7 linked regions of the Callithrix jacchus genome follow. The protein of the gene in region 5 interacts with the protein of the main gene of each other region in a pairwise test. Links are inferred from orthologs where the notes say so. Each region holds a gene or a part of one and is shown on either strand. Other genes may lie near its edges. The genes, in order: IL16, QKI, CTBP1, RBPMS, DMRTB1, EXOSC1 and PKP2.

The links.
Region 1: the proteins of DMRTB1 (region 5) and IL16 interact in a two-hybrid assay, tested with the Homo sapiens proteins (2 studies listed by BioGRID). The two-hybrid records come from large-scale screens. The link is inferred for Callithrix jacchus from reciprocal best matches to the Homo sapiens genes DMRTB1 and IL16.
Region 2: the proteins of DMRTB1 (region 5) and QKI interact in a two-hybrid assay, tested with the Homo sapiens proteins (2 studies listed by BioGRID). The link is inferred for Callithrix jacchus from reciprocal best matches to the Homo sapiens genes DMRTB1 and QKI.
Region 3: the proteins of DMRTB1 (region 5) and CTBP1 interact in a two-hybrid assay, tested with the Homo sapiens proteins (4 studies listed by BioGRID). The link is inferred for Callithrix jacchus from reciprocal best matches to the Homo sapiens genes DMRTB1 and CTBP1.
Region 4: the proteins of DMRTB1 (region 5) and RBPMS interact in a two-hybrid assay, tested with the Homo sapiens proteins (2 studies listed by BioGRID). The link is inferred for Callithrix jacchus from reciprocal best matches to the Homo sapiens genes DMRTB1 and RBPMS.
Region 6: the proteins of DMRTB1 (region 5) and EXOSC1 interact in a two-hybrid assay, tested with the Homo sapiens proteins (2 studies listed by BioGRID). The link is inferred for Callithrix jacchus from reciprocal best matches to the Homo sapiens genes DMRTB1 and EXOSC1.
Region 7: the proteins of DMRTB1 (region 5) and PKP2 interact in a two-hybrid assay, tested with the Homo sapiens proteins (2 studies listed by BioGRID). The link is inferred for Callithrix jacchus from reciprocal best matches to the Homo sapiens genes DMRTB1 and PKP2.

What each region holds. Positions count from the first base shown.
Region 1 is NC_133507.1:26,333,103-26,336,602, reverse strand, and holds part of IL16 (pro-interleukin-16), read left to right. Parts: intron 1-1,711; coding exon 1,712-2,801; intron 2,802-3,500. UniProt on the Homo sapiens protein: Interleukin-16 stimulates a migratory response in CD4+ lymphocytes, monocytes, and eosinophils. Primes CD4+ T-cells for IL-2 and IL-15 responsiveness. Also induces T-lymphocyte expression of interleukin 2 receptor. Ligand for CD4.
Region 2 is NC_133505.1:169,958,217-169,962,395, reverse strand, and holds the start of QKI (KH domain-containing RNA-binding protein QKI), read right to left. Parts: upstream 2,801-4,179; 5' UTR 2,634-2,800; coding exon 2,492-2,633; intron 2,329-2,491; exon of another isoform or gene 1,984-2,328; intron 1-1,983. UniProt on the Homo sapiens protein: RNA reader protein, which recognizes and binds specific RNAs, thereby regulating RNA metabolic processes, such as pre-mRNA splicing, circular RNA (circRNA) formation, mRNA export, mRNA stability and/or translation.
Region 3 is NC_133504.1:191,956,098-191,959,211, forward strand, and holds part of CTBP1 (C-terminal-binding protein 1), read left to right. Parts: intron 1-1,051; coding exon 1,052-1,266; intron 1,267-2,569; coding exon 2,570-2,700; intron 2,701-3,114. UniProt on the Homo sapiens protein: Corepressor targeting diverse transcription regulators such as GLIS2 or BCL6. Has dehydrogenase activity. Involved in controlling the equilibrium between tubular and stacked structures in the Golgi complex.
Region 4 is NC_133514.1:31,590,111-31,594,193, forward strand, and holds the start of RBPMS (RNA-binding protein with multiple splicing), read left to right. Parts: upstream 1-1,283; 5' UTR 1,284-1,317; coding exon of another isoform or gene 1,318-1,332; 5' UTR 1,333-1,420; coding exon 1,421-1,435; intron 1,436-4,083.
Region 5 is NC_133508.1:90,591,695-90,595,194, reverse strand, and holds part of DMRTB1 (doublesex- and mab-3-related transcription factor B1), read right to left. Parts: intron 3,484-3,500; coding exon 3,311-3,483; intron 408-3,310; coding exon 197-407; intron 1-196.
Region 6 is NC_133513.1:90,258,838-90,262,337, forward strand, and holds part of EXOSC1 (exosome complex component CSL4), read right to left. Parts: intron 2,558-3,500; coding exon 2,524-2,557; coding exon of another isoform or gene 2,517-2,523; intron 1,569-2,516; coding exon 1,518-1,568; intron 755-1,517; coding exon 670-754; intron 1-669. UniProt on the Homo sapiens protein: Non-catalytic component of the RNA exosome complex which has 3'->5' exoribonuclease activity and participates in a multitude of cellular RNA processing and degradation events.
Region 7 is NC_133510.1:38,675,968-38,679,467, forward strand, and holds part of PKP2 (plakophilin-2), read left to right. Parts: intron 1-2,438; coding exon 2,439-2,526; intron 2,527-2,672; coding exon 2,673-2,741; coding exon of another isoform or gene 2,742-2,886; 3' UTR 2,887-3,500. UniProt on the Homo sapiens protein: A component of desmosome cell-cell junctions which are required for positive regulation of cellular adhesion.

The sequences.
Region 1 (3,500 bases), on a different chromosome or scaffold from region 5:
CATATGACTATTTGAGAAACTCTACAGGGAAAGTCCATGAAAGCCTTTTGGAGGGCGAAGGGACATTTTGGAAAGATCTAGCACATCTCGCCCAGAGCAGAGGCCTGTGGGGGCAGCTCCTTTCACTTCCCTTAGTCACCCTCATTGAGGAACATACTAGCGAAAGCAAATGCCTCAGTGTTGAACTGGCAGGAGCTTGTCACCCCAGTCTGTAGCGGGCTTGACTGTGGAACCTCTGCCTCCTGATTCTCACAACAGCCCCTTATAGCCAAGCCATTCAGAAACGCAGAAACAGGCTGGAGGGCTGGGCTCACTTGCCAAAGGCCAGCCTCTTGGAACGTGCAGTATTTCTCTTTGATATCATCGAGGTGTAATGCTCCACAGGATTCCCTTCTTTTGAAACCTGGCATTGAGACAAGGGGCAGGAGGGATCAGAGTTCCTTAAACTGGGTTGCGTTCCAGTAGCAAGCATCACTCAGAGCACACAGGGCAGCCTCCCTCTGCTCCTGGGAAAGAGAGCTGGGGCACAGTCTCCCCTACCCACACAGATGTGATGCTGGTTCAATGCCGGCTTCTGAGAAAGGCTGCTGTGTGCTCCAGGGCACACCTGAGGTCCTGGCTGGCACAGAACAGGCTGCACATTGCAATCCCCTGCTTATCACATGCCCAGCACCCAGGCTGCATCCCGGGTATTTTCAATCAGTACCTAGGGGTGGGCATCAGTATTTTTAGGACCCTCCAGAGTCCAGTGTGTAGCCAAGATGGAGAATCCTTGGCACAGATTTCTTTGTACCTGGAACCTTTTCATCAGCTCTTGAGGGAGGGAAAACACTCCTTTGCTGAGCAAGCTGATCAATGACCTGCGTATAGGGAGAGCGGCAAACACAGTTTCAGGGCCAGGCAGTTGCATACGTGGGAAATGCCAGCTGGGTGAGAGGGAGTGTGAGGAGCTGTGGGTAGCTACGGTGGCCTCATTGGAAGGTGTACACAGGTGCCGTGCTTTTTTTTTTTTAATTTCTCTTTATTATTGAATTGTTGATCCTTTTCTTTTGTCTAATTCATAGTACCTCCATCCTCAGCTTTCTGATTTTTTTTTTTTTCAAGACGGGGTTTCACCATGTTGGTCAGGCTGGTCTTGAACTCCCAAACTCAGGTGGTCCACCCACCTTGGCCTCCAAAGTGCTTGGATTACAGGCATGAGCCACCACGCCCGGTCAGGCGCTGTGCCTTTTAACAACATGGGTAGGCCCAAGCACAAACAGCTGCCAACTTGTGACCTGTGTCTTAAAAGTTTAAACAGTGAGAGAATTGCTTTGGCTTTTCCACATTTGACACGGTATCTTGGAGGCTCCTTAGTGCAGTAGAAAGGACGTAAACTTTGAGAGTCAGGAGACATGGCACTGCCATCAGATGGCCCCTTACCCTTCTTGAAATGTAAAATGCCAGAGATCAGCCCAGATGTTCTCTGAGTGACCTTCCTGGCCTAGACACTAGGAAGCCATGAGGTTAATTCCTGCTTCTGGCTCTTCACTGCTGCCTGTTGGCAACTCAGTCGGGTAGTAGACCTGGAGCTCACCCACCTGGTGTCTCCCACTTCTGCCAATCTCCTTCTCTTGAATCCATCTTGCTGTTCAGCTTGGAAACTAGAATTTAGGGAGAAATATCACAGTATGATGTAACGCACAGCTTTTGGCCTCGTTTCTGCACATAGTGACCCAAACATCCCCGATAAAACACCCACTGCTTAAGAGGCAGGCTCGGATGGACTATAGCTTTGATACCACAGCCGAAGACCCTTGGGTTAGAATTTCCGACTGCATCAAAAACTTATTTAGCCCCATCATGACTGAGAACCATAGCCACATGCCTCTCCAGCCCAATGCCAGCCTGAGTGAAGACGATGGGACACAGGGCCACCCAGATGGGACCCCACCAAAGCTGGAGACGGCCAACGGCACTCCCAAAGTTTACAGGCCAGCAGACAGCAGCACCGTGAAGAAGGGTCCCCCAGTGGCTCCCAAGCCAGCCTGGTTTCGTCAAAGCTTGAAAGGTTTGAGGAATCGTGCTTCCGACCCAAGAAGGCTCCCTGATCCTGCCTTGTCTGCCCAGCCAGTGCCTGCTTCCAGGGAGCACCCGGGACCACACACCCAGGCTTCCTCATCCTCCATCAAGCAGAGAATTAGCTCCTTCGAAACCTTTGGCTCCTCTCAATGGCCTGACAAAGGAGCCCAGAGACTAAGTCTACAGCTCTCCTCTGGGGAGGCAACAAAACCTGTTGGGAAGCATGAGGGAGGTCGGCTTCCTGGACTCTTGGGCCGAGGGGCTGCACCCACTCTTGCACCTCAGGAGACTGAGCAAGTGCTGCCCTCGGGGTCTCCTGCAGCCTCCGAGGCAAGAGACCTAGGTGTGTCTGAGTCCCCTCCCCCAAGGCAGCAGCCCAGTGAGAAAACTCTTCCTCCTGGCCCGGACCCGCTCCTGAGGCTGCTGTCAACACAGACTGAGGAATCTCAAGGCCCAGTGCTCAAGATGCCAAGCCAGAGAGCACGGAGTTTCCCCCTGACCAGGTCCCAATCTTGTGAGACGAAGCTCCTGGATGAAAAGACCAGCAAACTCTACTCTATCAGCAGCCAAGTGTCATCGGCTGTCATGAAATCCTTGCTGTGCCTTCCATCTTCTATCTCCTGGGGCCAGACTCCCTGTATCCTCAAGGAAGGGGCATCTCCAACATCATCATCCAAGGAAGACTCAGCTGCAAATGGTTTGGCCGAAACATCTGGCTCGGACACGGGGTTCTCGCTCAAGTGAGTTTCTATACCCGGTGTTTCTCTTCACCTTTCTCATCTTTTTCTTTCTCACCTTTCTTTTTAAAAATAATTCTATATATCATTCAAAACATTTCTCAGATATGCTGGCTAAAGGACTGTTTTGCCTCTTTACATGTGTGTGCAGATGTGTGTGTGTGTGTGTGTCTATAGGTATTACACCTGTGCCTTCCATATTAAGGAGGAGTTTTCACAACACCGGGCTTCAGGAGGACTGGGAGGTAGGGGAAGGGACTAGCTCCCTGGTGAATTGCTCATGGGGGCTGTTGCACGCCTGTGGAGGTTTGGAAGGCTGATGCACATCTAAAATGTCCTGCGGTTACTCAGAAAGACCACAGTGAGGCCAGGAGATTATCCATCGGGAATTCTTACTGCTCTCCAAAAGGAATCCACTTGTACTCTGCACATGGGTTCAACTCCCCGGTCAGGGAGTTAGGATGTCTGGGTCCTAGTCCCAGCTCAGGCACTGATTCTGACCATGAGCAGGTTCCTTCCATGCTCACCCTCAGACTCCTTTTCAGCTGAAATTAGGAGGTGGATGAACCTGCTTTGTAGAACCAGAGGACTGTCAGAGGTACCATGGGCTCCTGCTGTAGGGATGGAGCTTGGTCTTCCCTCTGATCAAACTAGCTCTGCATTTATTGGTTGCATTTATTGTTCTTATGCTGCTGGGAAATA
Region 2 (4,179 bases), on a different chromosome or scaffold from region 5:
ATGTTTGTACTGGTCTGATAAAAAACAGTCAAACTTCCTTGTCATTATATTGCCCATTTTAAACATACTATCTGCCATACAGAAGCAATCTTTACACTGGGAGTTGACAAGGCTAAAACTAGAGTAAGATGAGAAATGGAATAAGCCACATTACAAGGGGAAGGGGAAACAAATATAAGGAGATTTCCTCTCGGTCTCCTACATTTTAAAGTCAAACGATTACTATTTCCAACCAGAGAGAAATACACCTTGGTTAAAAATAGGGACGTAATTCAAATTTCTGGATTTGAAAAATTAAAAATTATTAAAGCAAAAAGTTAGAAACTTGGTAACAAGGAACCAGCTCTAAATTATGAAGAGAGTTTAGATCAACATAAAAGCACAAGTGAGACGCCCTTTTAAACTAAAGAAACTCCAAAGTATGCAGCTTTTTAAATAGTATACTAAGGTGAAGTATTTTCACTTTTTTTTGAATCTCCTATAGTCTCTGAATTCAACATTTCAAGAATGCAATTTAATTTTAACTAACCCTAAACATTGTCAAGGTCTATTTTCATTTTACCGTCGAAAAAGGATTCCTGCTAAACAACTGCACTCAAGAAAAAAACTTTTACCAGAAATTGTTACTAGCACTATTAAAACTTAACCAAAATATGCGAAAGAGAAAATGTTATTTTTGAAACGTCATAAACTTGTGCCAATAATTGTGTTTTCAATGTTCGAGAACACTATAGGAACACGTGATGACAAATCAAATAATCCATACTTAATTTAATATAGGTCAGATTACTGTGTATGTTTCACATTTCGTTCTGACCATTTTCATGGTTAAAAAATAACTGGCGCCCCTTAGCGCTCACATTCGGAAATACGCAATTTAAGAGTTACAGCAATTTTTTTTTTTTTTTTTTTTTTGACATTCCAGAAAGTTTTCTGCCTCCACAATCTTTCAAATGCCAACACAAATAGGAAAAGCAGAACCCCTTAAAGGGACAGCTGAAGTTTTCTCTGGAGCAACCTGAAATTAGCAGATCTGTTGTTCCAACAGTGGAAAATGCCCATTTCAATGTGGGTGAGTGCTGTACGTTTAACACACGGAAGCACAACGACCAGAAAGCCTAACACCTAACCATTTCCTACTTTTGTTTCTACGACTTTCAATACAACAAAACTCCTGGGATTTTTCTTTAACCATCTTTTTATCATGTAAACATTTCCGGCCTTTTGTTCTTTGGTGACATTCCAACTCCCCAAGCTTCAAACTCCTTTTCCCCGACTACTTTTAAAATCTCGAAATTCTTGCGAAAAACCTAAACTCCACTATTTCTTCAACCTACAGTTTTTGGTTTCCATTTTACAGTCCTCCAGTAATGCCTCTAAGCAGAAAAAGAAAAAAATCCTGGCTAGTCGATTTTCGAAACAGACATTTTTGTGTGTGGTCATTTTTTTTTTTTTCTCTAGGTGTCCGCAGAAACCCACAGCTACTAAAAATTAATACTCCAGGTCCTGCTATGAGAACTTCTTAAGGAAATTCCAGAGTTGGTCAACATTAATCTTCTTGTCATTCTTCGCTCCCCACAGAGCTCCATAAAGCTATTTGGAAACTTTGGCTCAATTTTATTTCGCCCTTTCCCAGCGTCTCGATTCCCTGTCCTGAAAACTCAGGCGGCTGCGTCCCCGAGAGCAAACCCTCCGCCCAAGTTCTTCCTAACTCAGGCAGCGCTCCGATCTGTCATCGCGGTATTTCGCTCTCCACCCCCCCCCACCCCCGAAAAGTGAAGTTCAACTCCCTAACAGTTCTCGCTTCCCCAAACAAAAGGAAAAAAAGCGCTTTTCGCCGTCACTTCGTCCTCCCTGTCGGCTACGCCAGCATTACTTTCGGTCTCCTACCGAATTTTCTTGAACGAGCCCCACGCTGACTTCCACTTACTATTTACCAGCTGCACCAATTCCCCAAGCACGAAACCCCGCTTTGGTCCTCACCCGGAGGGAGAGCTCCCGAACTCGGGGCAGCGGGGGTCCGCACCGGGCTGGTTCGGGAGACCGAGCGGAGGAGCGGGGCCCGCGCCGGGGACACGCGCGTCCTCCAGGCCGGCGGCGCGGCGTGGGCCTGCTCTCGAGAGGGCTCGGCGAGGACCACCGAGCCCGCGCGGCCCCCGCCGGCCTCTCGGAAATGTGACCGCCAAAGCTAGAGGGGCCGCAGCGTCCGCCCCGCAGCCCTCCGCACGGCACAAACTTGGGCGCCAGCAGCACTGGGTCCCGGCCGGGCGGGGGCCGTCCGGCCCCGGCGGGTCCACCCCGGCCCGCCCGCCCGCTCGCCCGCTCGCCGCCGCCAGCCGGGCCCCGCGCCTTCTTTGTGCGTCCTCCCGGCCTCCCCGTCCCCCCGGCGCGCGGTCCCGCCCGGCCGTGACCTACCCGCCCTCCCCACCATCCGGAGCGGGGAAAGGGGCTGCCCCGGCGGGGTTGGGGCCGGGGCCCGTGAGGCGCTCACCTTCGTCCAGCAGCCGCTCGAGGTGGTTGAAGATCCCGCAGAAGTTGGGCAGGCTGCTCATGAGCTTCTTGTCGTTCATCAGCTGCATCAGGTAATCTGGGGTGGGCTTCGGCTTCTCCTTCGTTTCCATTTCCCCGACCATATTCCAGGCTCCGCAGCTCACTCCGCCCGCCGCCGCCGCCGCCGCCGCCGGAGAGGAGGGAGGGGCGGGGGCGAGCCCCGGCCGCCGGCCGCTCGGGACCCGGCGTCCCGCTCCGCGCCGGCTCCCGCTCCGGCTCCCGCGCCGAGCCCCGGGGCGGCCGGCACCGCGCGCTCGCCCGCCCCCCGCAGGCACTTTCCGCCCGGGGCCGACGCGCTCCCGGCCGCCGCCGCTCTCGGCCGCCCGACTCGGCGCGTCCCTCACGAGGCCGGCGGGAGGCGGGTCTCGGCTGGCCGAGTACGGGCGCGGGGCGCGGGCCGCTGGCGCCGGACGAGGAGGAGCCGGGGCCGCCGCTAGCTCGGCTGGTCGCGCCCGCTGAGCACCGCCGCCGCCTGTGCCGCGGGCTCGGGGGTCTCTCTGGGCTGGTGCCCGCCGCGGCGCCTCTGCCGCTGCCGCTGCCGCCGCGCTCTGACTGCGCTCCTCCTCTTCCTCCTCCTCCTTCTCCTCCTCCTCCTCCTCACTCACTTGGCGGCGGAGTTCGCCTCAGTTCAGGCGGCGCTGCCAGCGGCGGCGGCGGCGGCGGCGGCGGCGGCAGGGGGGGAGGGGCGGCGGCGGGGGGAGGGCCGGGGGCGGGAGGCGGGCGGGGCCGCGCAGGGCGGCCGTTAGCGGGGCCGGGCCGGCGCGCTCCTGCAGCCCGCTGCCCGCCGCCCCCCACCCTGGCAGCCACTGGCGCCTGGCTACCTCCTCCCTGCCTCCCCGGCGGGGCGGGCGGCGGGAGCGTGACGGTCGGCGGCGCTGGGCGGGCCCGGGCCTGGGAGCAGAGGATGGGGTCGCTGCCGTGCCGGGCGCCCGGGGTGCGTGGGTGTGGGTTGCAAGGCTGTCGGCCACAGGGTGCGGGGTACGCGGGGCTTTCCACGGCAGGGGGCGGGCGGGGCCGCGGGCGCGGTCGTGGCCCCAGCGGCGGGCGAGAGGAATCCCAGCGGGACGCGCCAACGGTGCCTCCGCCTCGCTCCTCGTTACTATAGTTCTTTCAAAACCTCTCATCCACCCCGCAGAAGAGAAATTTTTTTAACGTCCTGTTGCTTCACGGGGGACTTTCGGGGTGGGCGTCACGTGGCCCGACACGTAGCTGTGGGGCTCCAGAGCGCGTGCGCGCGTCGAGGCTGGTGGCCACGCCCATCCTGAGGGTCGCTCCGCCCCCGCCGGGCCCCGCCAGCGCGCGGTGGGGGAGGCGCGTGGCCCGGAGTGCGCCTGCGTGGGGCGGGGGCGGGGGCGGGGCTGGGGGCGGCAGCCGCCTAGGGTCTGAGTCTGGCGGTTTTGACCGGGGCCCAGGCGCGTCGCCCACCGTGCGGAGGGCTGGTCGGCCTGCACTGGCAGTCCGGCCTGACGCGGCGCGGGTCTCGGCTGCGGGGGGCGGGGGGTGCGGAGGACAGGAGTTTGAGGCTTTCTGAGGCGCGCGCCCCGGCGTCCGCCTCTGCGGGACTCTGCGCGGGGCGCCCTCGGTCGGCGCGCCGGGCTCCGGCTTCGTCGCCGAGGGAACCACGCGCGA
Region 3 (3,114 bases), on a different chromosome or scaffold from region 5:
GCCTCCCAGCCTCCCCCAGTCCTGTTCCCCTGGGTGTTTGGGCTGCGTCCGGCTGCCCTGTCTGCCTGGCAGTCTGGTCTCCTTGGCCCTCAGGTCACTACGGGCCCCTCGCACATGCTGTTTCAGCTCTCCGGCTTCCTTCCTGTCCCCTCGTGTCTCTAGCAAGCTTGGCCTTCTCAGGGAGGCCTGCCCTGGCGGCCACCTTTGAAACTGCGTCCACTCCCCGTCCTGCCCCAGCACCCACCCTGCTTCCTTCCTTTGCAGCAGTCCCCTCCTACGTGATACAGGGGAGAGTGCGTTCGAGGTCTGGGGTCCTGTGTCCTTACAGCCGTGTCTGCGCTTCTGAGTCTGTGCCCGCACTGTTGGCTCACAGTGGGTGTGACCCTGCAGACCCTTCCGTAGGGCAGATCCAGCCCCAGCCAAGCTTGGTGGCCCTCTCTCCGAGGCTCCTGTGCTGGGACCCGCACCAGCGTTGGACTGCTGGGGTGGGGGCAGGCAGTGGGTGAGAAGGTCCCACAGCAGGGCTGGGGGATGGGTAGGCATGTCTGCCTGGGTGGCTTTCTCTGCTGCTCCACACAACCAGGACAGGACGTAACCCCAGCGGGAACACCCTAGTCTGGAAGGTTCCCTCCTGCCCCATTTGCTGTCTCCACCAAGCTGTGGTTGAAATTGAGGTGCCAGAGACGCTGATGGGTAGACCCAAAAGCAGACCATCGGAGGGGCCTGGGCACACATGGCATGTGTGGGCTGGGTGGAGACCTGCTGACCTGTCCGTTTGACGCGGAGTGGTTCATGTTGCGTCCTGTGGACAGACTGCAGTGGGCGTGGCATGACTGACACGTGGTATGGGCCCAGGGGAGAGCTCACCCCTTTCCACCCCTGTGTACAGCCTCCGCCTTGCCAGCGGGCACATTGGAAGCAGATGTCTTGTGTGGAGCGGGCACCCAAGGTGTCATCTTTGGCAGACAGATGGTCAAACTGAGGCACAGAGGCCACGCTGACCCTGGCTGTGGGTGAGCAAGGGTCTCATGCTGCCTCTTGACGCCACCAGGTCGTGTAGGGCAGGCGGTGGCGCTGCGAGCCAAGGCCTTCGGCTTCAACGTGCTCTTCTACGACCCCTACCTGTCAGACGGCGTGGAGCGGGCACTGGGGCTGCAGCGCGTGAGCACCCTGCAGGACCTGCTGTTCCACAGCGACTGTGTGACACTGCACTGCGGCCTCAACGAGCACAACCACCACCTCATCAACGACTTCACCGTCAAGCAGGTGCGTGGGCCGGGGGCAGGACTCCCTTCTGGCAGGGACAGCATGAGGGACAGGTGGGGATGTCAGGTGGGTCCCTCCCAGCTGCCACCTGCACCTGGGTGAGACTCTGCCCTCCTTGAGCCACACCACGGTGTCCACCAGCCCTGCTGGAGTCAGCCACATCGGCACAGACGGCTTTCTCCATGTTCCGGGCTCTACTCAGGACACCTAAAATGCTCTCCATACGAGACAAAACCACAGACCTTTGAGTACCAGATCCCCGTGAAGTCCTTGTCGCTCACACAGCGGGACAGATGCAGCTGCCTGGGGGCCTTGGGTCGGCCATTGTGGCTTCCGTGCTGTGCCGCCAGGTTCAGGTTGCAAATCTGCAGCTGGAAAGGGCTGTGCTCAGGCGGGCCTCTGCCTCAGCACTGTGCTCCCCTGGAGTGGGTGGAGTTGGGGGCGCCTGGCTCCCACTGGCTCCAGGCCTTTCAGAGGGCTGTATGTGTGCATTGGTGTGTATATACATGGGCACGTGTGCTTGGGTGCACATATGTCTGCACTTTGCATGTGCTGGTTTGTGTGCATATGTGTGCACATGTCAGGGGCCACGTGTCAGCCGCCTGCCCAGACCCCTGTAGCCGCAAGGAGGATGAGGCCAGGTGCCCGCTTCCCCTGTCTTTGTTCACAGAGCTTTCTAGTGCACAGGGTGTGGCACATGGACGCTGGTCAGAGCCCTGCTGTCTCTGAGGACCTTGGGTGTGAGGCTGCAATGGGCAGCAGCTCACAAAGAGGAGCCACTGTGACCAGCACGGGTGCCCGCCAAACACCGTGGCTGGGTGGGCTGGCTTTGCTGAAATGGAGGGATGCAGGAAAGCCGTGGCTGCGAAGCCAAGGGGGAGCCTCTCCAAGGGCCTTTTGTGAAAGCGCATGAAACACAGCAGGCTCTGCTGCAGGCCCCGGGTGGGGCTGGAGTTGAAAACCACGCCTCAGTGCAGGCAGCCCTGGGTGTTGGGAGGCTGGGCTGGAGGGGACCCAGAAAGAGGGTACCACAGGGGCCAAGCCCGGAGCCCCACCCAGTCCTCAGCTCGGCTTGGACAGGAGGGTCGAGCTCTCTAGGAGGTGTGGGGCTGTGCAGGTCTCTAAGGCCTGAGCCCCAGCCAGCCTGCCAGGGCCATGGTGCCAAATGCCCAGGGTGGGCCTGGGCTGGGAAGGGGCCAGGGAGCTCCCCCACCTGAGGGGGCGCACTGCCACCCTTGCTTCCCTGGTCACCCACCCTGCGCAGATCCCTGACTGAGCCTAGCCTTGTCCTTATGTCTTCCAGATGAGACAAGGGGCCTTCCTGGTGAACACGGCCCGGGGTGGCCTGGTGGATGAGAAGGCGCTGGCCCAGGCCCTGAAGGAGGGCCGGATCCGCGGCGCGGCCCTGGACGTGCACGAGTCGGAACCCTTCAGGTGCCCCCACGGCTGGTGCCGTCCCTGCCCTTCCCTGCCCACCTTCCTGCCAGGCCAGGCACTTGTCTTTGCTCAGCCTCTTGCTAGCCAGCACTGGGGGAGTTTGCCCTCCACTGTGTGATGAGGATGGAGCCATGGGCTCCAGGCCTGCCTTGCCTCAATGCTGGGAGGCACTGGTTGTGCTCCGCAGCCTCTCTTTGGGCAGGGCTCCCAACCAGCCAGGAGAGCATGAGGCTCCAGTGTCTGTGAGTGGTCCCCGACGGCCCTGGCCATGGAGCCACGGGGTCACATCCCTACCTGCAAACAGTGCTCTGGGACCCCAGGCAGCCCTGGGCTGGATGTTAGTTACAGAAGATACCCTCGGCAGGGGCAGGATCAGCTTGTGGGACCCACAGACCCTTCGGTGGAGAGGGG
Region 4 (4,083 bases), on a different chromosome or scaffold from region 5:
TCTGTATGGGAATTTTTAACCTTCGTAGGAAAAGCAATGGAACATCATGGTAGCTAAAATTGCAAATCTCAAACTTGGCAGAATTATTAGAAAAAAGTAAAGTTCAGTAGAACAGATTGTGAGGAAAGCATTATTCATGTCACAGGAGTTTACAAATAACAGGTGTACAATGCACTGGGATGTTTCTCGCCCATTAATGGAAACGCTCCGGAGACTGTACAGTCAAGAAGATGGATAAGGTTGTAGATCCCTTCCGCTATCTCCAGTGATTCATTTTTTTTTTCTCTAATACTGCCTAACTTCCTCTGTTACAGACACTGGGTAGTATCAACATGTTTCCTTACTGTTCAATCTGAAAGACAAACCCTCCAAAAAATTAAAAATAGAAAAAGTAATGTTCTGATTTATCTGCCATCAATACTTTTTATTTGTGGATTCTCTTAATACCATATCAGAAATAACTTTATAATTTATTTTTTTGAGATGAAGCCTCGCCCTGTTACCCATGCTGGAGTGCCGTTGCGCGATCTCAGCTTACTGCACACCCCGCCTCCCCGGTTCAAGCGATTCTCCTGCCTCAGCCTCCCAAATAGCTGGGACTACAGTCACCTGCCACCACCCCTGGCTAATTTTTTGTATTTTTAGTGGAGACAGGGTTCCACCGTGTTAGCCAGAATGGTCTCGATCTCCTAACCTTGCAATCTGTCCACCTCGGCTTCCCCAAGTGCTGGGATTACAGGCGTCAGCCTATTTTTTATTTTGTTGTTTCTTTTTGTATAGAGAGTCTTGCTAAACAGTATTTCTTGGCCCTTGCCCATGCTAGCTGTTCCCTTTGGTGATACGGGCAAAATTAACCCAAACCATGAAATAAAACATTACACTCTATTTCCTTCTTCCCTGCCTCTCCAGGTTTCCATCGCTTTTCACCTTAGCCCTTAGTTTTGTTGCACTGGTAGCATCCTGGAGCCTCGCAGGTTTTTCTCAGCTCATTCACTCTCTTTTCACCCTCAACCGTGGCAGCTCCAGAATGCGGGTTTCTGGTGTGTTATCTTCTGTTTCTGTGAACTTTCGCTGCCAGTCACTGCCTTTCCATTTTAATTGCATTCTCCCACCCCCGCAGTCTTCCTGGAATGCTTCCTGTTTTGCTCAGGTGGGTCTCATCCTCCCGGGGCCCGCATCTCCTCTTTCGCCTTCGTCTGACTGAGCCCGGTTGCAGCTGAGTCCTCGGCGTGGGGAAGTGAGGTGGGGGAAGCTGAGTCAGGTGCGCGACCTTGTGTGTCCGCACTTCCGGTCGCGCGGCCCACGCCGGCCGCCATTATGATGCAGAGCCAGGTGAGTCGTCTGGGCCCAAACCTGCTGTTGGAAGTGCAAGGGCACCGAGAACCACCCTACCTGTAAGAGATCTGTTAAACTTCCTCAGATGGGATGGGGAAAGGTGAGAGGGTGACATTTCAGGTGACCAATGCCTGAACTGGGGCTTCCAGGGAAAGGCTAGAGAAAGACGTGGCGAAAAACTCTCCCTCCTGGGGCTGTGACTTCTATTATATTTACTCATCGTAACTTTTTTTTTTTTTTTTTTGAGACTGAGTTTCACTCTTGTTACCCAGGCTGGAGTGCAATGGCGCGATCTCGGCTCACCGCAACCTCCGCCTCCTGGGTTCAGGCAATTCTCTTGCCTCAGCCTCCTGAGCAGCTGGGATTACAGGCACGCACCACCGTGCCCAGCTAATTTTTTGTATTTTTAGTAGAGACGGGGTTTCACCATGTTGACCAGGATGGTCTCGATCTCTTGACCTCGTGATCCACCCGCCTCGGCCTCCCAAGGTGCTGGGATTACAGGCTTGAGCCACCACGCCCGGCCAACATTGTAACTTTTTAAAAATAACTGTGGAATTAATAGTAATTCCCCTGAAATACCCACCCTGTGTTGATGGAGCAATGGCAAAAAGCTCGTGCTTAAGTATTCTTGTCCACAGCGTTGCCAGTGCCTCCTTGGTACGGAAAACCAGGTGTGACAGAGTCACCTCAAGCCCCGCAACTTCTCCAAAACCCGAATCTGCGTGAATATTGCCTTTCTATAAAATAATGGAATCCGTTTGCCAAGTCTATATTCTCCTAAACTGTAATACTTAATATTTTTTTCTCTGAAGTCTTATTTTAAATGGTTTTTTAAATGGTGCCCTGCACTAATGTTTTTGGTAATTATGGCTAAAAAAAATTTAAAATCTTTAAGTGATGTAAAAAGAACCTGAATCTGGAATATGCTGCGTGGATACTGCCTTTTTAAAAAATACTGGAATCCGTTTGCCCAAAGTCTATATTCTCCTAGACTGTAATACTTAATATTTTTTCTCTGCAATCTATTTTAAATGGTTTTTTAAATGGTGCCCTGCACTAATGTTTTCAGTAATTATGGCTATAAAAATTAAAAGTCTTTAATCTGCATGATATAGGAAAAAAAGCTGTGTAGAATAGTAGTTAAGAGCCCAGGCTTTGTTGAACTGCCTGAGTTCAAATCAAGCTCTAACACCAGCTGTTTTGATTTTGGACCTGTTCCTTTACCCTCAGTTTCCTTATTTGCAAAATAGTTCCTATCTTACAGGGTTGTGGTCAGGGTAATTGGGTAAATACAGGTTTACAGTTGCTTATCTGAAATCCTTGGGGCCAGATGTGCCTAAAAATCTTTCAGATTTTATACTGATTGATAATTGACTGAGGCAGTCTGTTTCTGTGGCCCATGCTGGAATGCAGTTAGCTCACTGCAACCTCCACCTCCCAGGTTCAAGCAATTCTCTGGCCTCGGCCTCGTTAGTAGCTGGGACTACAGGGGCGAACCGCTATGCCCGGCTAATTTTTGTGTTTTTAGCAGAGATGGGGTTTCGCCATGTTGGCCAGGCTGGTCTGAACTCCTGGCCTCAAGTGATTCTCCCACCTTGGCCTCCCAAAGTGCTGGATTACAGGTGTGAGCAGCCACCCCGCCTGGCCTCTTTCAGATTGTAAAAGACAACATAGTACATAACGCATTGGTAACATAATATAGTGAGGTCTAAGGTAGCACATAGTAATTAAGCACATTAATATTTTTGCAATGAAACATGAATAATACACTAAGTGGGATAAGTTAAAACTATAAATAGTTTAACATCACTTCATATCAGGTTTTGCCACCCAGTGAGTTTGCACTGCCCTCCTCCCAGACTCACCACTGTAGGCTTTTAGAGCGTTTAGATTTTGGAATTGTGGATTAGAGGTTGTGGAGTCATATGTAAACCATTTGAACAGGGCCTGGCATATAGTAAGCACCCTATAAATGTTATGTGCAAAACTGAATTCTTCCTATACTTTATGACTAGTTTGTCATTATTTAAAAGAGTAGTTTAAATCATAGTGCTTTAAAGTGGATGTAGTGTAGGCCTATGTAACTATTTGTGTGTATTTTTTGCATATTACTCCCTCATTTGGGTTTCAGGTCTGTTTTTCCCATGGTAAAAGAACAAGAGAAAACAAGGCAGAGCAGAAAAGTTCCATGTTCCTTCTCACTCCTGCTTGCCTAGTCAAAACAATTGAACAGTTTAAGATGTCTATTTCAAAGATTTCAAGTAAATTCTAAAATGTTTCCTCTTGTCGTGACTTGTGACTTCAGCCTTGACTTGCCACTCTGTGCATCTAAATCTTTTGATCTGCTTTGCTGCCAATGGATTATTTCCAGAATATGATGGTGTAGACATTCTTACATTTTAGGCAATTTAAATGCTTCTAAGATTTTTTTTCTTACCCAAAAGAGGTGGCTTCTGAGTTTAGGACTGTGGGATTGATGTTTTATGTGAGTTCATGGCTGTGTTATGTTATTTGGCCTGAAAGTCTAGTGATCTGGTACATTTTATCCTGTGATCCATTAATATGTATTGAAAATATACTGCAGTTCTTACAGTGAAAAATAATTAGACCCATTTCATCCTCTTTCTACTTAATACACATATTTACCCAGTCTAAGCCTGATTAAGAAGGGCAGTGTGGGAATGGCTGAAAGAAAAATACATGCTTTTCAAAAGGTAAACCAGAACTGGAAGCAGAAACTCTGAA
Region 5 (3,500 bases):
GGAGGCCTGGTTTCCTCACCTGGAATCCCATTCCCACCTCCCTTAGATGCGGGCTTATGGGGACTGGAGAAGGGGTTAAGAGCTCATCCTAGGGTTCAGCATCTTTTAAATTCCATGTCCCTTCTTTCCACACCTAATCAGATTAGGTACCTCTTCCTCCAGAAAGTCTCCCTGGTTCTCCTGGAAGCTCACTCACCAGTGTTCTCTTTGTCAGGATCAATCAGGACGGTCAGTGAGAAAGATGATGGAGGTGGTGGTGGCGGTGGCGGTGGCGGAGGGAGGAAGTGGAGGGCAGAGAGGTATCCTGGTGGGAGGAACTGGGGCTGCGGTGGAAGAGGTGGAAGGGGCGGCAGTGGTGGCGGTGGTGGGTAGTAGCTTGGCTGGAAGTCTCCCACTGGTTCCGATGCCTGCACAGCACACATAGCAGAGAGGCAGAGTGGGGAGAGAGTTAGCCAGATGGGCTGACCAAACATACAGGCACAGGGCACTTGGAAGGAGGCATTCAGCAAGCACCTGCCAAATTATTGAAGGCAAGAAGCAACACAGGCAACCTCAGATAAGCATGGGAACAGCTGAGTGGTCAGTGACTGAGCCCTTCTGTGTATGGCAGGGGGACTGTGCTGGGGTGCTCACGAACCTAGGAGGGGGGTTCTACTACTGGCCTTGTAATGATGAAAACCAGCTTCAGTGAGATGAAGCTACAGGCCCAGGGCCCCAGAGCTGCTTTGTGGTAAGGGCAGAACTGGATCCAAAGTTGGCTGACTCCACAGCCCACTCAGCTGACTGTGCAGCACTGCTCTGCACTGGGGAAGGGTCTGAATGCATCCCAACCCCACAGGACCCCCTGTCTGGCACATGTGGTGACTTAAACTTAAGTGCCAGGGGGCCTTTGGGAGAAGAAATTGGCAATATGGGTGTAGTGCAGCTGTTTCTGAAGCAAGACACGCTGGTGACTTCAGACAAGTGGCCTCATTGACCAACACTTGCTGCTTCTGTTCCTTCAAGGGATGGACTCCAACCCCTTACTGCAGCACAGAGCTCCATCACAGGATCCGGACGGGGATGACTACACAGCTCTGAGCTTAACTGAGAAAGACATGAATGTCCTAAGAAGTAATACTGACTTTTGGATGTAGTTCCTGTCATTTCCTTCTCATGCTTCAGAGCAACGCTTCCTGAGCTGAGTTTCAGGGAGCCCTGGTGTCCTACAAGACATTTCTTAGTAGTCTTAAAAGTGTTATTTGTTAAGTGAGTTTGAGGAACCCCACATAGTACTCCCCACATTAGTGGGTCACACAAGAGTATATTAAAGGCTCAGAAGAAGCTGTAAAAATCTCCTTAGATTAACCCAGCATTTCCTAACTTTTTTCCACCACCAGGAAGAGGAGAAAGCCCACTTTTAAGCACCTACTATGTGCCAGACCCTGTGCTAGGTATTTCACATGCATTGCCTTATTTATTCTACTCAGGAGCCCTATGAAATAGGTCCTCCTACCCCCATTTTACAGACCAAGACCAAGCGAGGCCCTCAGAGGTCAGGTAACTGCCACAGAGCACGTGGTTGGGACATGACGGAGGAGGCAGGATTGGACCTTAGGTCTGTCCACCTCCAGGGCCTGTGCTGTCCTGTGAATAGGAGAGCAGAGGAAGCCAAGCAGCAGCAGGTGGGGCAGGGACAAGAACACGGAGGAGGAAGCTGCTCTGGGGAGCACCTCCACGCCTCGGCAAGGGGCAGCAGGACATGGATGAAAGTGATTTAGGGGCTCTGGGGTTTGAAACAGCTCACAAATCAACACCTGATCCTCTCTCCAGACGAGAGAGGGTGGATGGGGGATTATTAGTGTTTTAATTCCAAGCTGCCCAGCCAAGCGTTTCCCCGGATCACAGCTCCTGCCTGGGGCCTGTGGTGGCAGCTCGTGCCCAGATAAACCAACTGAGATCACACTCTTAACAAAGGCCGTCTGGCAGGCCTGTCAATCAGAGCCCTGCCCTGGACGCCAGGCTCCAGGCTTCTGCATGAGCAGACGGAGCATGCTCTACTTGGCCAGAGCCCCACTCTTTGTGTGGAGGCTGGAGATGCCTGGCTCTCCCTGGACAGTGCCCACAGATGTCAGGCAAGCAGCAGTGGTGGTGCAAGTCAAAAGCCAGGTGTGTTCTACCTCGGTATGAGAGAGGAAGGAGCAGTAGATAGCGCCTGGGCTCCAGAGTCAGGGCAGCTGAGGTGTACAACGTGGTACTGTCACCAACCAGCTATGTAACTGGAATCCCAGTCTCTCTCTCTCACCAGTTTTGTGACCCTGGCCAAAGACATAGCTTCTCTGAGCCTTTTTTCTCAATGCTACAATGGGGTATAACACCTACCTTGAAGGTTCAGTAGGTACCCTGGAATTATCAAGGCCAGTGGCTTTCAAACTTTCTTTCCTTGAACCAATGGAAAATGATTTTTAAGTACAATTTTACAACATCTAAGACAAGTGGGAGAGATGCTGCTGCCACCAGGCTGAAGCAGGAGAGAGGACCCGGTGACCTGTGTATCTGACCTGCCCAGGCACAGCTCAAGCCCCACTGGACCGGCTCCACGCTGTGTAGCTAATGACTTTCATTAGGGAGGAAGCAGGCTTTTAGCCATCCTAGTCTGGAAGGAGCTGGTAACCAAGCCATAAAACCCAATCACACTTGCCTTGCTGTACACACCATAGGGGTGACCTGACTTTACACACTTGGTACTCAAAATTCCCAGCTCAGTGAGAACAGTAGCTAGCAACTGACTTTAATTAATCTTATGAAGGATTAAATTTCATTCTCTCAACAGGTATTTCCTAAGGTGTCAGGTGTTTGGGGGAAGGGTTCCGTATTTTTCATCACTGAGCTCAAACACCACCTCCTCCTGAAAGCCCTCTGCAGTCTCAAGTGTGCTATGCCTGTGCACAGGAGCCTACCTCTGGTCCTGGCTCTGCCCTAAATTTTGTGGTCCCAGGAAGTGATATTCCCTCTCTGGAGGCCAGCAAAATGAAGGTCCCTTCTAGCATCAGCATGAGTCAAGGCAAGTGTCACCTGGAAAGCCCACAGCCCTGAAAAGCACAGGCCACAGTCCAGGCCGAGTGGTGCAGACTGGTCCACACGTGTATGCTCCCAGAGACACACACTGTACCTGGGCAGTGCCTTGCCCTCCACCAGCATTCAGGGGCTGGCACGGAGTCGGGTACATGGTTTATGACAGTTGGCTTCCTGGGACTGAGGATCCATCAAGGCGGCAGGGGCAGCTGGGAGGAGGAAGAAGCTGGCAAGGAGTGAGGGGGGTGGGACTCACCAAGCCTCCGCCTTGGTACTGGCTGTGGGACACATGCCGGAAGCCCTGCTGCAGGGGGACGCCAGGAGGGGCGTCCGGGTAGCCCGGCGGGAACGGGCAGTAGGCGTGCATGCTGGAGCCGCCGGGGTACTCAGGGCCTAGTGCACGGTCCGGGTGGATGCTCAGATGGCGCCCTAAAGAAGGCAAGCAA
Region 6 (3,500 bases), on a different chromosome or scaffold from region 5:
GGCTGGGCGCAGTGGCTCACGACTATAATCCCAGTACTTTGGGAGGCCAAGGCAGGCGGATCATTTGAGGCCGGGAGTTTGAGATCAGCCTGGCCAACATGGTGAAACTCCGTCCCTACTGAAAAAACAAAACTCAGGCCAGGGCTCACGCCTGTAATTCCAGCGCTTTGGGAGGCTGAGGTGGGTGGATCACCTGAGGTTAGGAGTTCGAGATCAGCCTGGCCAACATGGAGAAACCCTGTCTCTACTAAATAAACAAAAAAATTAGCTGGGCGCTGTGGCAGTTGCCTATAATCCCAGCTACTCAGGAGGCTGAAGCAAAAGAATTGCTTAAACCTGGGAGTCGGAGGTTGCAGTAAGCTGAGAATGCGCCATTGTACTTCAGCTACTTGGGTGATGAGAATTACCTGAACCCAGGAGGTCGAGGCTGCGATGAGTGGAGATTGCACCACTGCACTCCAGCCTCCATGACAGAGAGAGACCCTGTCTCAAACAACCAGCACCACCACCATCACCACACAAAAAAGAAAAAAAAAAAACCATTCTCATCTCAGAACGAAATATCTATGGCCATACTGCTTCCCAGATAATGAAATCAAGAAAAACAATGGATTAATCCCAAACCACAACTCCAGGGAAAGTAAGGATGTTGAAGCAAGGCCACCTCACCTGACTCACTGTGGGCTACCACCACTCCCAGCTCGTTTTCGGCAGTGGTTAGCAGGTAGTTGGACTGTGCGTCACCTAGGGAGATCTAGTCACATAACACTGGTAAAGGAAAATGAGGAGTTAAAAGTCTTCCCTCCCACCATAGCCACCTGAATTGTTTTTCTACTTCTGTCTCGTTTTTTTTGTTTGTTTTCAGATGGAGTCTCGCTCTGTTATCCAAGCTGGAGTGCAGTGGTGCGATCTTAGCTCACTGCAACCTCTGCCTCCTGGGTTCAAACGATTCTCCTGCCTCAGCTTCCTGAGTAGCTGGGATTATAGGTGTGCACCACCATGCCCAGCTAATTTTTCTGTTTTTAATAAAGAAAGGGTTTCAGGCCAGGCGCGGTGGCTCAAGCCTGTAATCCCAGCACTTTGGGAGGCTGAGGCGGGTGGATCATGAGGTCAAGAGATCAAGACCACCCTGGTCAACATGGTGAAACCCTGTCTCTACTAAAAATACAAAAAATTAGCTGGGCATGGTGGCGCGTGCCTGTAATCCCAGCTACTCAGGAGGCTGAGGCAGGAGAATTGCCTGAACCCAGGAGGCGGAGGTTGCGGTGAGCCGAGATCGCGCCACTGTACTCCAGCCTGGGTAACAAGAGCGGAACTCCGTCTCAAAAAAAAAAAAAAAAAAAAGACACGGTTTCACTATGTTGGCCAGGCTGGTCTCCAACTCCGAACTCCTGACCTCAGGTGATTCACCCAACTCGGCCTCCCAAAGTGCTGGGATTATAGGCGTGAGCCACTGCACCCAGCCCCCATCTGTTCTTTTGACAAAGGACCAGAATTCTGCTGGGAATAAAGGATACCACTTTGGCCAAGACAATGTCACCTGGGCGGAAACTCTTATAAATTTCAACCTGTAAAGAAAGAACAGGAATGGTAAGTGAAAGCTCTAGACTGGGTCTACATGAAACTGTGAACCTCTCTGGTAAAGCCAGTCTACTTTCTAACCCTAGAGGGTAAAAGCATCATTACTTATGTAGTTAACAACTTTTAATTGCTTCTATAGTATTATCATACAAATGAAAGTCTTTTTTTTTTGAGACAGAGTTTTTCTCTCTTGCCCAGGCTGGAGTGCAGTAGTGCGATCTCAGCTCACTGCAACTTCTGCCTCCCAGGTTCAAGCAATTCTCATGCCTCAGCATCCTGAGTAGCTGGGATTACAGGCGTGTGCCAACATGCCCTGCTAAATTTTATAATTTTAGTAGAGACAGGGTTTGACTATGTTGGTCAGGCTGGTCTTGAACTCCTGACCTCATGATCCGCCCACCTCGGCCTCCCAAAGTGCAGAGATTACAGGTATGAGCCACCGTGCCTGCCCCCAATCCTCACTTTTTTTTTTTTTTAAGAGGTGGGATCTTGCTGTTTCACCCAGGCTGGAGTGCAGTGGCGCAATGGTAGCTCATTGCAGCCTAGGACTCCTGGACCAAGGGATCCTCCTGCCTCAGCCTCCCAAGTAGCTAGGACTACAGGTGCATGCCACCACATAACCTCAAACACCTCAGCTCAAGCAATCCTCCAGCCTCATCTTCTCAACCAGCTAGGACTACAGGCATGAGCCACCATGCCCAGCTAGTTTTTAATTTTTTATACTCGGATGCTGATCTTTTTGCAGAGATGGGGTCTTGTTATGCTGCCAGGGCTGGTCTTGAAGTCCTGGACTCAAGTGATCCTCCCCCCTCAGCCTCCCAAAGTACTGGGATTACAGGTGTGTGCCACCATGCCTGGCCTGAGGTAATACTTTTAAAGGATTAAGAGTCATAAAGCCATTTAAAAAAAAAAAAAAAAAAAAAAAAAGAACCAACCAACAACCTTGTCTTTTTCAGTTGCTCGGATATCTTCCTTGCTATAAAAAAAGAATTAACATAAAGATTAATTATCTGTGAGAAAGAATTTGTTTTTTGTTGTTCATTTGTTTGTTTTTGAGACAGAGTCTCCCTCTGTCACCCAGGCTGGAGTGCAGTGGTGTGATCTCAGTTCACTGCAACCTCCGCCTCCCAGGTTCAAGAGATTTTTCTGCCTTAGCCTCCCGAGTAGCTGATATTACAGGTGTGCACCACCACACCCGGCTAATTTTTGTATTTTCAGTAGAGACAGGGTTTCTCCATGTTGGCCAGCCTGGTCTTGAACTTCTGACCTCAGGAGATCCACCTGCCTCAGCTTCCCAAAGTGCAGGGATTACAGGCATGAGTCACCTTGCCCAGCCTGTGAGAAAGAATTATCCTGTAGATTCCTAGTAAATAAAGAGCTACAAGAACAGACAACAAGTCTACTTGGGACCCAGCTGCTACCCAGAGGAGCAGGGTGGAGCAGCAGTATCAATACCTCAGATTTGGCAAGACAGGATAAGGAGTTTCGGTGCCTCAGGGCATAAACAGAAGCACTAAAGCAAGGGTCTCCAACTGGTGGTGGGTCTGTGGCCTGTTAGGAACCAGGCTGCACAGAAGGAGGTGAGTGGCAGGCAAGTGACAGAAGCTTTATCTGTATTTATAGCTGCTACCCAATCGCTTACATTACTGCCTGAGCTCCGCCTCCTGTCAGATAAGGGCAGGCATTAGATTCTTATGGAAGTGTGAACCCTATTGTGAACTGTACGTATGAGGGAGCTAGGTTTCCCACTCCTTATGAGAATCTAATGCCTGATAATCTGTCACTGTCTCCCGTCACCCCCAGATGAGACTGTAGTTGCAGGGAAACAAACTTAGGGCTCCCACTGATTCTATATTATGGTGAGTTGTATAATGATTTCATTATATATTACAGTGCAATAATAGAAATAACATGCACAA
Region 7 (3,500 bases), on a different chromosome or scaffold from region 5:
GCCACAGCTGTGATTTAGTAACAGCAGAATGTAGGGAGAGCAGGAGTCCTCTGGACAGGCAAGTGCCCTTTTCCTCTGCCACTACCATCTTGGGAGGAGACGTCACACCAGGTGGCTTAGAAGAAGCAGTGATGGCCAGGCACTGTGCTCAAACCTGTGATCCCAGCACTTTGGGAGGCCAAAGCAGGTGGATCACTTGAGGTCAGGAGTTCGAGACCAGCTTGGCCAACATGGCAAAACTCTGTCTCTACTAAAAATACAAAAAATTAGCTGGGTGTGGTAGTGCGCACCTGCAATTCCACCTACTCCAAAAACAGGCTTGAGAACTGCTTGAGCCCAGGAGGTAGAGGTTTCAATGAGCCGAGATCATGCCACTGCACACCAGCCTGGTTGACAGAGTGAGGCTCTATCTCAAAAAAAGAAAAAAAGACAAGCAGCAGCAGTGATGGCACAGGAGAAGCAGTGGAGGGGAACCTGATGAGAAAGTCTTGTTTTCACAGTTTTTTCTCTATCTTATCTCTTCCACCTCTTATTCCCTTTTGAGAATAGAAGGTCCGGTACATGTCACTCCACTTCCCTGTTCCTGTTTTCAACTTTTTCGTATTTAAAAAATAACAAAGTGGGGATGAGAATGAAAAACCTTATATAACCAAATTATTTACTATTAGAGTGATGAGATTGGAAAGGGACATGAATATTCTCTTTTTCTCTTTATTCAATTCTGAGTTGTTTAACTTGTTACATATAGATACAAGTTACTTTTATAAATAACCAAACAAGAAAAGAAATGGCCACTATAGCCAAGTTCTAATGAATTACAAAGCAGATAACTTCACCTGTACTGAAGAAACATGGGTGTGCTTGGCTGTACAAGGATGTACATTGTTTCCTCCACCACAGCCCCACCGAATTTAGGCCCCTTCTCCTCTGTAGCCCCACTCTGCAGTGCACATGAGGAAGGAAAACTGCATTCAGTGTCAGATTAAAACAAGCCCTGAGCACTGGAGTGTTATATATCTGACCTGTCATTTGTGGGCTAGCCTAGGAACTAATTATCATTTATAACATCACATCTTTGAATAAATGAGTATCAAGTACCAAACAACCAACTTATAAACAAACTTTATGAATATAACACCCTTGCAATTTAATAACTTTTTACAGTTTCGAATATTAGAGACCCATCACTTCCATGGATTTATTTGCCCTTCAGTTTTCACAAGTGATTCTGAAAAGTCCAGGAGGTACTAGCAAGTTTGTGAGATGCTGGTTTGACTGATCCTCCCTGCCGGGCTAGTATGGAAGAGAAAGGCTTTTCACTGTTGAAAGAACACATCATGCTCTTCTCTGTACGTCTTTGCACTCTCTGGTTATGGTTTTATGTTTACAAACGCCTATGATATGAGTAAAAAAAACCTTGGTTTAAAAAAAAAAAATCAGCCATGTGCTAGTCAGGGGATAGAAGAGAAAGAGCTCTAAGGCAGCACTGATCTAAGCCAAAAGTGGGACATTTAGGATAAATTTAAAAGCAGAACATGGGGCAGGCAGGGTGGCTCACGCCTATAATCCCAGCACTTTGGGACCTGAGGCAGGTGGATCATCTGAGGTAAGAGTTCAAGATCAGCCTGACCAACATGGAAAAACCCCATCTCTACTAAAAATACAAAAATTAGCCAGAACGGTTGTGCACATCTGTAATCCCAGCTACTTGGCAGGCTGAAGCAGGAGAATTGCTTGAACCGGGAGGCAGAGGTTGTAGTGAGCCGAGATCACACCATTGCAGTTCAGCCTGGGCGACAGAGCGAGATTCCGTCTCAAAAAAAAAAAAAAAATTAAATTAAAAAATTTTTTAAATAAAAAATAAAAGCCGAGCATTAAATACTAAGTACAATGTCAAATGCAGTGGTGACTTGGATTTATAGCAGGAACAAGTTTTCCATTTGCTCTATACCGAAACATGAAGAGATTCTGAAACTGCTTTAACAAGGGCTGCCACAAGAATCTCTTTTATTGACTTGAAAAATTACTTTACTCCTGCATTCATAGCAGCACAAAAATCATGTTTATTTTTCAGTCATACTTTCATGCATTTTTATTCTGTAAACATACATTATAACCATTACAAATATAGATTCTATTCTATAAATAATTCAAGGATTTGCAACATGTCTAAGGATATATTCCTTATAAATATCAGGGATTTTCTCTATAAACTATTTATTTATTAGCACTGTCCTAGTGGTTTAAAAAGAAAACAAAAACAAATGTGGTCCCTGCCTTCCAGAGCTCACTGTCTAATTGGTCACCGAGTGACCTGACTTCATGGACGGCTGCTGGGAGCGGCAGTTGAAGAGTGCAGAGTCTTACAGAATGTCACCAGGCAGCATCCAGAAGCCTCAGTCATTCTGCCTGATCTCAGAATGTTCTTTTCTTTTCAGCTATGCCTCCAACAAAGCAAGTAAAGCTGCTTCTGTCCTCCTGTATTCTCTGTGGGCGCACACGGAACTCCATCATGCCTACAAGAAGGTAAGAACAGGAACAAGGAATGTGTCATAGTTAACAGAGGCTGGTAATAATGGCCCTCTTGACCCTAGTAAGAAATCACTAAAAAACTGCATTTTTTTATGTGCCAGTTTTGTTACCTTTCACGTTTCTGTTTGCTTATTCCTAAGGCTCAGTTTAAGAAGACAGATTTTGTCAACAGCCGGACTGCCAAAGCCTACCACTCCCTTAAGGACTGAGGAAAATGAAAACGTATTCTCAGCTGCAAAAAACCCCAAAGGAAAACACCTATTTTTCTACTACCCAGCCCAAGAAACGTCAAAAGCATGCCTTGTTTCTATCCTTTTCTATTTCCATGGTTCCCCAAATCCTGCAAACAAATAGAACATAATTTTATGAGTCTTCCAGAAGACTTTTGCAAGTTGCCACCAGTAGATACTGGCCTCAGGCTCTGTTTTACCCCCTACAAATAGTGGTCCTTATTATTGGGCTTATGGTGCATGGCCTCCTGGAACCAAAATATGAATTCATGTGGAATGGGCATTCATCCAGTAAACAAGGAAAGAAGCTGTTGCATTACTGGGATTTTAAAAGTTTTATTTACATTTATACTCCTTTTCTGGGTCGCTTGTTTTGTCACTCATGTGCACATTGCTTCCCCACTGGGCCACGAGTGTGTTGTTCTGCAGTGTTGAAACAGAATGGAAATGACAAGAAATGTCTGCAGTTATCCAGGAGAAAGTAGAATGGCAAAATTGTTTGTTTCTTGGTTTACCTTGTACTTGTTTTTATGCCCTTGAGTTGTTTTTTTTTTCTCTTATTTTTAAGTTAAGAAATTTAGATTACAGAATATGCATGACTGTGAGAAAAAAATTGAGAGGAAGTGATCATAGCAAATTAAAAAATCTTTTCCTCCCAGAACTTAAAATAAAATTAATAAAAATAAAAATCTTTTCCACAGAGAAAGGCAACTGTGATTATAAAATTTAACATTCTCC